Linked DNA regions of Oreochromis niloticus. The protein of the gene in region 1 purifies or fractionates together with the protein of each later gene. This does not show direct contact. Links are inferred from orthologs where the notes say so. Each region holds a gene or a part of one and is shown on either strand. Other genes may lie near its edges.

What was found.
Region 2: the proteins of amot (region 1) and mpp7a purify together in Homo sapiens (affinity purification with mass spectrometry; 3 studies listed by BioGRID and IntAct, with this or other methods). This does not show direct contact. The link is inferred for Oreochromis niloticus from reciprocal best matches to the Homo sapiens genes AMOT and MPP7.

The regions. Positions count from the first base shown.
Region 1 is NC_031975.2:392,289-400,121, reverse strand, and holds the start of amot (angiomotin), read left to right. Parts: upstream 1-4,815; 5' UTR 4,816-5,130; intron 5,131-7,167; 5' UTR 7,168-7,229; coding exon 7,230-7,257; intron 7,258-7,833.
Region 2 is NC_031974.2:29,246,100-29,253,474, reverse strand, and holds the start of mpp7a (MAGUK p55 subfamily member 7), read left to right. Parts: upstream 1-4,353; 5' UTR 4,354-4,644; intron 4,645-7,375. Other genes in the region: waca (WW domain-containing adapter protein with coiled-coil), read right to left, coding at 912-1,104, 1,914-1,944, 3,771-3,825, 4,027-4,042. UniProt on the Homo sapiens protein: Acts as an important adapter that promotes epithelial cell polarity and tight junction formation via its interaction with DLG1. Involved in the assembly of protein complexes at sites of cell-cell contact.

The DNA of each region.
Region 1 (7,833 bases):
CCTCTCTCTCTCTCTCCCTCTGTTCCTCTCTCTCTCCCTCTCTGTTCCTCTCTCTCCCTCTCTGTTCCTCTCTCTCTCTCCCTCTCTGTAGTCCTCTCTCTCTCCCTCTCTGTTCTCTCTCTCTCCCTCTCTGTTCCTCTCTCTCTCTCTCTCTCCCTCTCTGTTCCTCTCTCTCTCTCTCCCTCTCTGTTCCTCTCTCTCTCCCTCTCTGTTCCTCTCTCTCTCTCTCTCTCCCTCTCTGTTCCTCTCTGTTCCTCTCTCTCCCTCTCTGTTCCTCTCTCTCCCTCTCTGTTCCTCTCTGTTCCTCTCTCTCTCCCTCTCTGTTCCTCTCTCTCCCTCTCTGTTCCTCTCTCTCTCTCTCTCCCTCTCTGTTCCTCTCTCTCTCCCTCTCTGTTCCTCTCTCTCCCTCTCTGTTCCCTCTCTCTCTCTCTCCTCTCTGTTCCTCTCTCTCTCTCTCTGTTCCTCTCTCTCTCTCTCTCTCTCCCTCTCTGTTCCTCTCTCTCTCCCTCTCTGTTCCTCTCTCTTTTTTCTCTCTCTCTCTCTCTCCCTCTCTGTTCCTCTCTCTCTCCCTCTCTGTTCCTCTCTCTCTCCCTCTCTGTTCCTCTCTCTCTCTCTCTCTCCCTCTCTGTTCCTCTCTCTCTCCCTCTCTGTTCCTCTCTCTCTCTCTCTCTCCCTCTCTGTTCCTCTCTCTCTCCCTCTCTGTTCCTCTCTCTCCCTCTCTGTTCCCCTCTCTCTCTCTCTCCCTCTCTGTTCCTCTCTCTCTCTCTCTCTGTTCCTCTCTCTCTCTCTCTCTCTCCCTCTCTGTTCCTCTCTCTCTCTCTCTCTCCCTCTCTGTTCCTCTCTCTCTCCCTCTCTGTTCCTCTCTCTCTCTCTCTCTCCCTCTCTGTTCCTCTCTCTCTCCCTCTCTGTTCCTCTCTCTCTCTCTCTCTCTCCCTCTCTGTTCCTCTCTCTCTCCCTCTCTGCTCCTCTCTCTCCCTCTTTGTGCTGACAATCAAGCCAAACACCAACATCATCAAATATACAGTGGAAACCAGATATTTACACACTCTGCAGATAAAAACACAAACACTTTAATTGTAACATCAAATCAGACTAAATGATTATTTTTTTTAGATTGATAAATATAAAAAACATATTTGTTAACTTTTGTATTTTGTATTCAAAACTGAGCCACACTTATGGAGCTCCACAGTTCTTTTCCTGGTGTTTTGGTTGACATGTCTTGATTTTCCCATGTCAAAGAAACAGGCTCTGTGTTTTGCCTTATATGCATCCACAGGTGTGCCACCAATTTACTCACATGGACTCTACTAACCAATCAGAAGCTTCTTAAGCTCAGAATGGAATTGTCTGGAGTTTCCTTATTAATTAACAATAAACTTAGTGTATATACTCCTAAATTTGATGAAAGTGATTAAAATAGACAGCTCCCTCTTTTTATTCTGACATTTAACTAATTCAAAAGATATTTCAACATTTATTTATCTAAAACAAAACAAGTTTACTCTAAATTGATGTTTAACAGTAACAAAAAAAGTTTATGTTTTCTCCCTAAAGTGTAAATATCTGGTTTCATCTGTGAATATACTGCTGTGTATTGAAATTCCTCTTGTCTTGCATAGATATACTAAACAACATACAAAGCATAATATATAAAATAACATCTACCTGAGTTTTTTCTTTAAAAGAAGCTCCTTATGTCCATTCTTGTGTTCATCAGTACACAATTGAAACCGATTTAGAGAGTTTGTTTAGCCGTGGAGGGTAAGAACTGAAAATATGAAATGTAAGCTAAGACTTTCTAAAAAATCAGCACTGTCGTTCGGCATTTTATTTATCCATTTGTTGATTCACTCAAAGAGCAAATAACGCAGTAATATCGGTTTGATATCAATCTTTTGTGATACACCGTCATATTTACATTATTTGTACAGTACGAATGATTTGTTTTGGTACCTGGTCAAACTTAAGCTCTCCTCTGTCTGCAGCAAACTTGCAGGCAGCAGCTTCTCCCCCCTCGCTCACATGGGTGCTGTGCTCAGTCGCCTAGTGCCTGAGCTCGGATCATACCAAAATTAGGGGGAATTTACGACGGTGCGCTCTGTGCTTCGTGTGTTGTTTTTGTTTTATACAGTTGTCAGTCAGGCATCTAACTAATAAATTACACTCCAAAAGACCCCATGCTTCTGAAAAAATGACTCGAGACCAAGACCGGTCTCGAGACATCCAACTCTACTGTTTATAAGGTTGGGGAAACCTGCGGTCAGCTGAGCCTGAAGAAGTCACCTGGGTGAGTGATGAAATGTTTCTCCCACTGAAAACATCCAGATGAACAGAATCAACTTTTTGCTTACCTAGATGATTGAGCATGCATCAACACACTCATTTGTTATCTTGGCTGTGTGGTTAGGAACGTTGTCCTGTTAGAAGATGAACCTTTGTTCCAGTCTGCGATCCATAGAGCTCTGGACACATAACTGCATTCATCTTTCCCTCGACCCTGACTACTCTATCAGTTTCTCAGTTCCCTCTGCTGAAAAACATCCCCACAGCATGATGCTTCCACCACCGTGCTTCACTGTAACGATTTTATTGGCAGGCAATGAGTGGTGCCATGATGCTTGGCATTCAGGCCAAAGAGTTCAACCTTTGTTTCATCAGACCAGAGAATTGTGTTTCTCGTGGTCTGAGAATCCTTTAGGTGCTTTCTGGGAAACTCCAGGTGAGCTGTCACCTTCCACTGAGGAGTGGCCTCAGTCTGACCATTCTACCATACAGGCCTGATTGGTGGAGTGCTGCAGAAATGGTTGGACTTCTGGAAGGTTCTCTGTCCACAGAGCAACACTGGAGCTCTGTCCGAGTGACCATCAGGTTCTTGGACACCTCCAGCTCTAGGTAGAGTCCTGGTGGCTCCAAATATCTCCCATCTATGCATGATGGAGTCCACTGTACTCATTGTACTTCAGTGCTGCAGAATCTTTTCGTACCCTTCTCCAGACCTGTGCCTCAATACAATCCTGTCACTGAGGTCTACATACAGTTCCTTGGATTTAATGGCTCGGTTGGTGCTCTGACACCTGTCCATAGTTTGGACCTTACAGAGACAGGTGTGTACTTTCCAGATCATGTCCAGTAAACTGAATTTACCACAGGTGGACTCCAATCAAGTTGTAGACACATCTGACAGATGAACAGTGGAAACAGGAAGCACCTTAGCTCAGTTTTGAATGTCACGACAAAGGCTGTGAGTGCATGTAATGTTTTTGTTCTTTATTTTTAAGAAATTTGCAAGAACATCAAAGTCTTTTTTTAACTTGTCATTTTGTGTGTAGAATTTGAAGTGAGAAATGAATTTAATGTTTGAATTAAGCTGTAACATGAAAATATGAGGAAACGCTGTGAATCCTTTCTGGATGCACTGTAACTTGTTTCTGTGAATGATTGTTGTTGTTCTCTGTCAAAGCCATGCAGTCTGCTGATGCACTGTTGTTGTCTGACCCCTTTGCAAAGACAAATTAAAACCTCAGAGTGACAACCTGTTTGTGCAGATTCATTTATGTCAAATTTCCATAACATGGTATGGGGCATTTTAAAATGTTTAGTAAACCAAAAAAGTGGTCCTCATAAGATAAGTACGAAAATATTCAATATAATATGTGTATGATATACAGAAGCTGGTTCATTGGAAATAACTGTTAAATGAGTGTGATCCGGTCAGCCTGTGAGGACCCCTGCTTAACCAGCTTCTCTTTAATCCCACTAGCATGGCTAAATCTGTGGTAGCCTAGCTTATAGCATCAACTTGACTAAATATGTTCATTCCTCCTGATGTTGACTGCGGTTGGTGAACATGTGTGTGTGTTAGCCAAGACACGGGGAGAGAATGTGTGATGTTGCGTTTGTCCCATTACAACACAGTGATATGGGTCCAAGAAAAGATCTGCACTGGGCGCTAATAGCTAATTCAAATGTAATAGAGTTGAATAAAGCAGCGCCACCTTCTGGTGAAGATGGCCTACATGTACTGACCTATATAAAGATACAGTGCAGATGTCACAGAGCCCACTCTGGTCAGAAATCCTGCAGCCGTAAACTGACTTCACAGAAATGACCAAGAAGCTGAATGGCAGATGGCAAAGCTAAAATGCCAGTAAGTGAAAAGAAGTAATGTAAAAAAAATGAAAATCACATGATGAAGAAGCAGCCCTGAAGCCCACCATAGAACTGTGGAGCAGTGGTTAGCACTGTTAGCTCACAGCAACAGGGATCCTGGGCCTCTCTCTGTATACAGCACTTGTTTAATGATTGATAGTAACGCATTATTATCGTCACAGGGTCGAGGCAGGGCTTGAAACAGATGGTGCTAAATGACTGTATGTGGATTTGGGCTAAATGACGTGAAGCAAAACCAACATATGTGCACCTTCTCACGAAATTCCGACAGCACTTAAATGTAGCAGAGCTCCGCTGGGACGGACAAAGCCCTCTTTGTCACTTCTTCCCCTTTTTCAGCTTTTTCACTTGAGCCTCTGATTGTGCCGGGAGTGTCCCAGTGAGCACATTTAAACTTTTATCTTTAAACTGTGCTCGTTAAAACACCAAGTCGCCATCCTAAACAGCCATTTCAAATAATAATAAACTAACACTTGATCGTGTTTCATGACACACTTCGGGCGCAGAGTTGAGCTTTTAACTTTTTCCTGCTGGTTAGACCTTTGTTAGAGCCCAGTCTGGAGAGCAGGAGAGAGAAGGAGGGATTTCCCTGTTCCAAAAACTTTTTCATCCAGTTTCCATTAAGGAGGGGGAGGGAGGATGGACATTCCTCTCATACTGAGGCCAGGCGGTGTGTGTGGGGGGGGGAGGAAGGGGGTGCTTCCTGCTACTTCTCATGTACCGCTTCTTTCTTTACTCTCAACATGGAAAAAGACTCCTTGGCCTCGAACAAACTCTTTTTCCCGGTGAAAGAATAAAAAGCCCACGGTGACGTCCAAGATGGAGCGGCTGCAGCAGCGCGTTTCGTAACTTCAGGAGGGTCGGTGCGTGCCGAGGAGACACGACAGATCAGCAGGAACCGAACAAAAGAATGTTTCATTGGAATCAGGGGCTCGGAAAGTAAACCAAGTTCTTCAGGTAAATCATTTACGTGTGTGTGCGCACATTAACCGGATGCTCCGCTTATCTTTGTCAAACTGTTTTAGTCCTGCTGTTGTCATTTTACGACACACAAAACTAAACGGCTGAGAAAAAAAGACTTTCAGCTCGTCGTTCGTAAAGCTTAGATTGGCTTCGGACTCAGTCATGTGTGCTTTGAATTAACTTCAATAATCAGTGCCAATTCACTGACAGCGTGACGTGTAGGTGGGTGTAGCCTTTACTGCATCCTGGCCTTATCAGCAGGATAAGTTAGCTCTGTATGACATTTGAATGTGAACGTGGGGTCCTTGGAGTGGGTCCAGTCTGAAGTGGATGACACAACAGTTGTTTTGCATTCACAGCGTTGTACTGTCAATGATCACATGCGCACAGTAATCTGCTTATGTGACATTTGTACCTCAGAGTGAGTAACAGTGCAGTGAACAAAAACTAAACTGTAAATCTAAACTTTAACTGACCAGATAAACAAGAAAACTCACTCTATGGCTTTTTGCATAGTAAAATTTTAATTGGGAAATCCATCCATCCATCCATTCATTCATTTTCCCAACTGTTTATCCAAATTGGGCACGCCTTGTCCCACGAGCCTGCCCCAACCCTTACAGGGGGTTCGGCATTTCCACATAGCATCATCGCTTTAGTTTCTCTGTTGACACACACAGACTAAATTCTGATAATTGCCATTTAATTTAAGACTAAACAAGATTGAGTTTAATGATGAAGATTAATTTGTATTTGTAAAATATTTGAAATTGTAGCTTTTAAATGAGCTTGAATTGCCATTAATCACAGAGACTAGGACAGGGGTGTCCAACTCCAGGCCTCGAGGGCCGGTGTCCTGCAGGTTTTAGATGTGTCCTTGATCCATCACAGCTGATTTAAATTGCTAAGTGACCCCCTGAACATGTCTTGAAGTTCTCCAGAGATAATGAACTAATCATTTGATTCAGGTGTGCTGACCCAGGGTGAGATCTAAAACCTGCAGGACACCGGCCCTCGAGGCCTACAGCTACAGTTGGACACCCCTGGAATAGAAGGTGTAGCTGTACAGTCACTGGTCCTTTCTTTTGATTTGAAGATATTTGTTAACAGCACTCTTCAAAGAAAGACATTTGCTGCTCCAAAATTTGGAGTTCAGCTTGAGGTCAAAGGGGGAGTCCATCCGAATGTCTAATGTTAGGGTAAGAGTTCCTTTAACTGAAGGGGCCGGGCCCAGCTCCTGTAAAACAACCTCGCACCGTGATCCTCGCTCCACCAAACTTTACACTTGGCACAGTGCAGTCACACAAGCATTGTTCCCAAGTGTAACACTGAACTGGCAACTAGCAGAAGTAGTGAAGGTAGATGACTTTAATCCCTGGGGTTGGGAGGTCAGAGGTAGAGACTAGCAGCCGGGTGGTTTTGTGACGGAAGGATCGCAGCTCAGGAAAAGGGAGGATTTACAAAATGGTGTTTAGATCAAAAAGATGGGAGATGGAGCTGTTCAAGTTTTCACTGCGAGTGAGCAGGATGGACAGGACAGAGCTCGGGCTGAGATGGTTTGGACGAGAGCGGCAGCTTATGATTATTTTAGTAAACAAGTATTCCATTTCTTTTTCGAGTAATCGGATAAGACATAGTTTTGTTTTAATAATCAGCAGTAGTAAATAAAAAAAAAATACAGGTCCTTTAAAATAAACTCCTAATTGGTTTTCATGCTAGAAATGTCAGTGTTCTTCATAGTTTAACTAAATAGAAACTAAAGGAAGTGAACCCGCAATTGTATTTACACACATAAAAGAAAGAATTCTGAGAATGAAATGTAGACATGAGGTCACAGGTCAAATGTTTGGATGCAATGTTGGATGTGATATTTGGAATTCCCATATAAATGTTACCAATCCAACCAGAGGCACTGGAATTTAAAGCATAGTTTTAAAGTTAAAAGACATTTTATGAAGGTTTGATCTTATTTGACCTTAAAGAAGAGGTCAGAGGTCACATTGTAATGTAACTCCTGTATCTTTACTGTAGAATTGAGTAAACCAAACAGTGGTGGATGGGAGAAGCTCAAAGGTTTGCTGATCAGTGGTTTGATGGAGCACCCAGCTTTTCCCTGTAAAGGTCTGAATGGTTATGACAGTAAGAAGCACTGCTAGAAAAATGTTTTCACTCCACCAGAGCTCGTTCTTGTGGTAATGGTTACGACTTTTTTCTCCTAATCGTTTGTGTGTAGACAAACTTCGTGTTAAACTGTGACGTTTATTTTCACTACTGCTGTTGTTTTATCAGCCGTAGCAGCCAGTTTGCTAACATGTCAACAGTTTGCTAATTGACCGGGATCATAGTCTGACTTACAGCTGGTAACCCTAACCCCCACATACAGTTTACCCCTGTTATCCTTTGTTATCCTAGTGCTAACCAGGCCTGACCCTGCTTAGCTTCCAAGATCAGAAAAGGCTGGCTCCAACTTTTAATGTGCTATAACTTGTTTTCACCAGCCACATATCCCAGTATGTACTGCACCCGTGTGTTGTACCTGATTCTTGAATATTGTATCTCACAGTTTAAATATCTGCGGTTGCTTTAGCATCATTCTGCTTGCTTCTTTCATTTTATGTGTCATGAACAATCTGCACTGATCTTGAGTAACATCTGCAACATGAACGACTGACACTTAGCACTCTTCTCTTATACTGA
Region 2 (7,375 bases), on another chromosome or scaffold:
GAGCAAACAATGAGGGAAAGACAAGACACACAGTTTGTAGGGGTATGGATACACTTCCTACACTTAAAAACATGCAAAATGGATCTTTGGTGCTGGAATGTAATGAAATGTGGCCAATGCCTAAAGGTCAGACTAGTTAGCAAACAGCTGTTTTCATCTGGAAAAGAAAGACGCGTGCTGTCCTTATATTGTGAGAACCTATCCATCACGTGGCTGCTTGCATGCAAACTTGTGGCGCTGTTACTAGTGTTCGAGTAGTATTAGATTGCTGTAGTGACTTTTTGCAGAAAAGTGACCAGGACAGCTGACACTCAGATTCCAGAGAGGAGAGCATGTCTGAAAAGGAGCTCAAAACACCACAATACTCCATGCATGGATTCAACTGCTTGCGTGCCAGTTACTCAAAGTTTACCAAAAAGTCCACTTTGACAAAACTGTACTGAAATAATCTTGTTAAAATTAGCAGTTGACCAAGGTGAGGCAACAAAAGGAGTTATTCGCCTCCACAAAACGTGTCCTTCAAGACTTGAATGTCTGTGCAGAGTGTGGTCTTACTCTGGTCTCAATTTTAACTGTACTCACAGAACATCTACCTGTGAGGTTGGAAACCACGATAACCATTCATTCAATCAAATGCAAACTGCAGAGACTAATGCTCAGTGGTTAAAATTAAAACACATAGCGACAGCTTAACAACGCGTTTAGTTTAAATTTGTTTGTTCAAAAACTACCATGGCCGGATCACCCACGGTGTAAAACTGACAGGTGCAGTTTAAATACTGAAGCACTCAGTTGTAAGAAAAACAAAAAAACAAAACAGCGCCTCACTAAGAGAAAGAGCACCTGTTTCTGGAGTAATTAAAGAGAGCAGCTTTATTTCTTTCTAAACTCATTTTATTCCCCGCTCTCACCTCCATCCCTGTCTCTGGCCCGGTGCGTGTGGACACCCTTTGCTCTACTGTGCCCCGTGCTGTCGATGTGCTTGTTTTCAGGGCTGTCAGACCTCCTGAGCATCTTGCAGGGAGGGGTGATGTCTGAAGAGTCTCGCATCTTGTCATGCCGGTGGTCCCCTCCTGGATGGCTCTTGGATGAGTATTTGAGAGTCTGTAAACACAAATCAAATGCCTTACTAAAAACCTCACACTTAAAATAGATCTACGCTTCTGTTATCACCATTAGCAGGTTTCTAAAAGCAGCCATGGTGAGTACAGTCCTCAGCTCTTTAAAGTACTGTCATGTCATTTCATTCATAGTTTCAATGATGCAGAAATTAATTAGCACGAGGAAATACATATGTATAAATTGAGCAGCTTATTTATCGACTTCGCCCCTTCTATAAGCTTATATTTAACAGCCACGTTAATTTAGCCCGTATTTCTGCTCATAACAACGTATGCATGCAAACTAACACATGTTAAATGACGAAGTAAACAACATTTTATCCGACCTACGAGTATTAGCTCGCCATTTCACTTGGCTATCGCAATTTGAATTAGGTAGTGAATACACTGGTTTGCTGTATAAATGTCAAGCACTTTGATATTAAGGAAGCTTAACTGGCTATATCCTTAAAATGACAGATTGCGGTCAGGCCCTAATCGGACTGGCTAGCAAGCAAGCTAACAGTAACAAGCTATCATTAGCTTTCAGCTGTAATAAAACTCGCCCGTACCTTTTCCAAAACAGCCGACTTCGACGAATATGTTCACTCTGTCAAGTCTTTACTAGCAATGCTAACGTTAGGATACATTTACAGGGCTTCAATGGAGGTTTTAAGCAAACCTTTCTACTTTTTGTGTTATTTTCCGCACTGACTGGGGCCTGTTGTGCTCTCCAGAAGCCTGCATTAGAGTGTCCATTTTAATCTTATTTGCTGCTAGCAAGCTAGCAGGAGACGCTTGGCTAACAAGTACCTGATAGGGCTGAGAATCTCTTCGGTCGCACCTGCAAAGAAAAAGGAACCAGTTGTGAATTTTAAGCTTCAAATGTCAATGTTCAGAAATCGGTGAAAGCCCCGCAGCGAGTGAGGGATACAAGTTTCCACACAGTTATTTTGGTTTCAGTAAAAATGGCGGATTGTCAAAGCGTAGCTATGAGGAAAAGGAAAAAAAAATCTGAATAAGTAGGGTTAAAAGGAGGTGTTTACCCATCGCCGAGTCTCGGTTGTTTCCTTGCATACATTACCATCAATGCCGTGTTAGTGTGATTGGAGTGGGATGTGAAAGACTGATAACTGCACTATGTTTTCGTGTTGATTCAGCGACCTGAAATCGCCAGTTATTTTTCAGCCTAGCTTCTGGGTATTGCAATGCTAAATCGGCTGCACTGGTCGAAAGAGCGCCCTCACTCAGTCCATCTCCCACTCTGGCTCACAGCCGTGTCTCTAACAGCCGAGCAAACGTAGCAGAGAAGCTGAGCTGAGACCGGGGTTGCCAGATAGGCCAAATCCACCACTAGGAGCACGCCTTCGTGAAGTCAGAAAATGTTTACCCAGTCATGCTAATAACATTATATGTGTGAGTTTTTGTTGCTCTCTGTCATGTACATATATTTGTTAAGCTCATACTGTTAATTTTACTTTTACATTACCGAATTTGGATATGTAAAACTTACACATAAATGTTTTAATGGCGCATTAAAATCACCTCGTGTGCCAGCACTATGACGTCACTGATAAGTATTTGGAAAAATGACGAGTATACATTAACTTCAATTTTTTTTGCAGACCTGGCAACCTAGCTGCAACCGCTGCAACTACACACACCCCCTTTCTATGGCAACATCCGGGCCACAAAGCGACTGGAGTCCCCTCAAAACTTGCAAAAACGTTAATCTGGGTTGCTGCATCGGATATTTTCTACCCAGAATTTGGATTTGATGCGCGTGGCTCTTGTGGTCCTCCATACTGAATAAACGATTATGAATATAAATATCATGTTTACAGATCTGAGAACCAGTGACTTGTTCTCTCCTGACATCTAGTGGTTGTACTTTGACATCGCAGGTAATATTCATCAAAGCGTCAGCAATCAGTAAAACTGCACTATCTAAAACACGGTTTATGGTATACCACAAACGACTGGGAAGATTTTGAATGACAGACTTTCCTTTGTAAGATTAACAAATGAAACAGGGGCCATTTTTTATTACTGTACTATTCTGCTTTCAGTCAACTTTTTAAAAAATCTGTCTGTTAAAAATTTATGAAAGGGATATAGTAATGATAAAAAAAACAAATCCAAACATAAATATATAAATCCCCAAAGGAATCGTTATGAACTGAATTATAAACGCGTACTACGTTCCCAACACAGAGTTTGACCAGGTTGTATTAAAGTCTGAGTAGCTGTCACAAGGGGGCTGCAGGAGTCCATTGTTCCCAGACAATGCAGCCCACAACATATCCCAAGCCCGAGGACAAAAGAAGCTGCAGTTAAGCATTTTGGCTCACAGTGCAATTTAATGTGGGGACAAGAGGCCACAAACAGGGGGTGTTTCTATTGTTAGCATATTTCAGCAACTTGTTCACACACGCCCAGTGTTGCGTGTGTCCATGTGTATGATGTCTCTGAGCTATATTCAAATTCCATTAATTAATTAATATATTTATTTACGTATTTGTTTATTTGTTTTAAGAATAAAGCAGAAATAAATCAAATCACTTCTGGCCCGTCATTGGGCAGCTTGTTGCTTTCTATCTTAATGTGGCCGGTAGGGGGGAGGTATCACACCACTTTTATGGCTCTAGTACGAAAGGTACAAAAACTCACCTGAACACTAGATTCTGTTGGGTTGTGGTTTTTCTAGTTCTGATTTCTTTTCCAGCTATTTAAAAAAGATACAGATTACAAACTGTTTCACTGAGATCCAGGGAATAAAAACTGGCAAAACATTAGACAAAACATTAACGGCTCGAAGCAAAACAAAACAAAAAAGTCCGACTATGCTACTGTTCGATAAATGAAAATGAATTACTTCACTCCTTATGTCCAGATGAACAGAATCAACCTTTGGAGATTTACTTACCTGGATGATTGAACATGCATCAAGACGTTCACTCCTTATGATTAAATTGGCACAAATAACCTTTGCTTTGGACGCACTTCTGTAAATTTCCCATCTATTTGTCCATGAACATATTTCCTCACCGACCTGATTTTTAATTGTAATTGTGCCTCCTTGCTTACTACGGAAAGGCAAGTTTACAAGGCATTTGTGGATGACGGACAACAAAAACAAGCCAATTAAAATGTAGAATGAATCTCTGGACACGCCTCGATAGAACACTGACCAATGAACGAGCGAATGGGGTTGCCTGAGTGGTGAAAGCCCCGCGCGGCACAGATCTGAGAGCAGCTCTGTGTTGTTGCACGCCCTCCCGCTAACGCTGTGTCTAAATATACAAACCGCTTCCAAGTCAGCCCCTTGACAGAGCACTTTACGATTCTTGGAGAGTGGCACTGTCTGCTGAGGCGTAACGTTTTGAAAGCTCAGCAAACACCGCAGAGAGCGGGGATGAGTTAAGGGGTCTACAAAGGAGAGAACAGACGGTTTTGAAAGTGGGAAACAAAACCAGTGAAAAGTTTTGCCCTCCAAAGAACCAGTGGAGTAGCTACACCGTGGCCATTCAACTCCGAACTCCGAGTGAGTAGAACCATCACGTTATTTATCCTCACAGCTGTCAGAACAATGAAAACAAACTAACATATTTGTATTTAAAATAAAAGCTGCCTTGGATATTGCAGTGGTTCCATGGGGAAATGCGTAAGGCTATAGGTAGCAAGACTAGCCGTGTGACAGTATAGTAGAGGTGGAGTTGCTTTGTATGCGCTAACCTAACAGCGAACTTCAGTTGTTACCAACCTACAAAATATACAAGTGGGACTTGTGCCAAATTTTACACGGTAAAATTGATTTATTCGAAAGAAATGTTAACCTCGTCCCCTTCTTCCGACATTATATGCGCATTGAAATGTGAAATTCTTTCCTAATATCGCCTTTTTAGTAGTAAAATAAAAATTTCACCTGACGGCTTTTCTCGTGTGGGGTTTCCGTGGGGAAGTGAACGCAGCTGTGTTGCAGGGCCCACAACAATGTTTCGAAATGACCGTAATAAGTTGTTATTAGTGATAGCAACATGCACGGCTACATGTACAACCTAATGACACGACACAGGTAGTCCAACCTGGTAAAATACACACAAAGCAAGCATAAATGCAACCTTTCCACAAGCACACACACCTACAATGTAAAGCTCCTTCTCCCTCTATCCACGCCTTGTAGTGTGGACAGAGGGAATACAGAGCCCTTATGCCCTGCGAAGTCAAGTATGGTGACACGGAGCTTGACACTGGCTGACATCGCCAAGCCTCTGACTGGGCTGCCACACCGGGAGACTCAGCACTTGGCCAGCTGCCACCGCCTCCCAGCTCCGCCACTGGTTTTGCATATTTTGAATGTGCATAATCATGATCAGGCAGGTGTGTGTGTGTGTTTTGTCTCACACAATTCCTTCATAATCCTTATTGCTCTGCCTTCATATAATTATAGCTCACACCCTTTGTGCATCTTTACTTAAGAGTGCCTGATAGTCCAGAAGTGAAAGTATCTTCCTATAATGGGTTTCTTGAAGTGGCCAAAAGTCAAAGGGACCCAAGACACCAGTATAATTTGCTGAATTAAGCTGTTGTTTTCAATTCCTCTCATTCCTCTGAGTCACTCATTCCCTTGAAAGTTAAATTCATAACCACTGACTGCAGATGTGGCTGTCATGTAAAAGAGGAAGTGCAGTGATGTTTGGAGGAAACAGTTCATTAAAAAGAAAGCTGGACTTCACTGGCAAACATCCCATTGAATTCAAGGATTTTCCAAATTTAAATCAATGTCTAGGTGGCCTTATTCCAAATAAACCTCTCACTGCTTGCTGGCAGGTAAAGTGCCTGAACTGTGTCCCATCACTCAGTAGTGATTTTGTTCGTATCCTTTTACCACATTGTGGTGCTTTGGCTGAGAGTGAAAAGGAAAAAAAGATGGTAAGAGGATGACCTTCTTTTTCTCATGGTTCACTGCCACTGAGGGGACTTTCTGAAGAGCTGACATTCCTCTGTGTGGTTTAATCTACAGTTTTTTTTGGCCACCTATTGTGCTCTCACTGGGAATAACCCAGTTTTTTTGTTATTGTGTTTTTTTTAAAAATCTGGTCTAGAAAAAGGTAGGAGGCCTTTAGTCTGCATTCCAAATGGGCAGGAAAAGTCTCTCAGGAGACTTTGTAAGTATTTTAGTCAAGTTCATTACTCCAGCTTGTTTTTGAGGTCAGCAGTCGGGCATCATGACAGAGGGTTTCATTAAATCAGGTTTGTCATGGTTAGTGGGTTCAGGTGATGATTGAAGGGGTCAAGGTACAAATGTTTGCATCCTGGAAATTGACTGTACAAATGCCTGCTGCCAGATGATTTTCTTTTGTTTTTTGTGCACATAGTTCTCTGGAGTGTGTATATGGGAGCAGCGGAGGTTAGGGTGGAGTCAAATGCTGTGACTCAGACGAGGCTCCGTGTAGGAGAGTTTGACCCGTGTTGGTTGCCTGAACAGGTGTCTCCGAGCTGCAGCTCCGCATAGCTCGCATTCCCAGGGTTTTGTTCCTGGCGTGGATGGTCACTGAGCTGGGGGAGGGAGATGTGGGAACTAAGAATGCTATGCGTACAAGGCTTAACTCCCAGAATTCACCGTGGCAACCTGCTGACAGAGACAAACGCTTCCTGTCCCTACAGCAGCCTGGTCTATGTTGATGAGAAACCTATCAGCAGCTCAGTGCGGTGCCCACGGCCGGAGACAAAGCTGAGATTTGGTTCGGAACTCCTTGTCAGCAGGGAGGCTATTTTCTTGGAGCTTAAGGGTGGGTGGGATACAGTGGTTTAAGACTCTTAATCCAAGTATTAGTTTGGATTACTATCATCTCTCAGAGTCATGGGAAATTGCCTTGTGTGAAGACAGTTCATTGGAGTTTGCCTGACCACTCTATATCTCTCATGTATCTGTGACTCTCTTGGGTGTCCTGTGGGAGATGCTTCAGGAGAATGGGGTCCTGGGCCTGTTGTTAATGCTGCAGGTTTTTAAGTATCCTGGAATCTTGTTCACAAGTGGGGGAAAGAGTGGACAGATGGATTGGTGCAGCATCTGCATATTCTATTCAGATTTTATGAGGAGAGAGCTGAGCCTTGAAGCAAAGCTGTCAATTTGATTGGTCAGTTTAAAATCTGAGCTTTATCTCTGCCCATGAGCTAATGTTAGCAACTGAAAGACACTTATGCCTGCCTGGACTCACACTTATGGACCCGTTATACCTGTTGTTAGGCTGTGTTGCAACACACATGTCGCC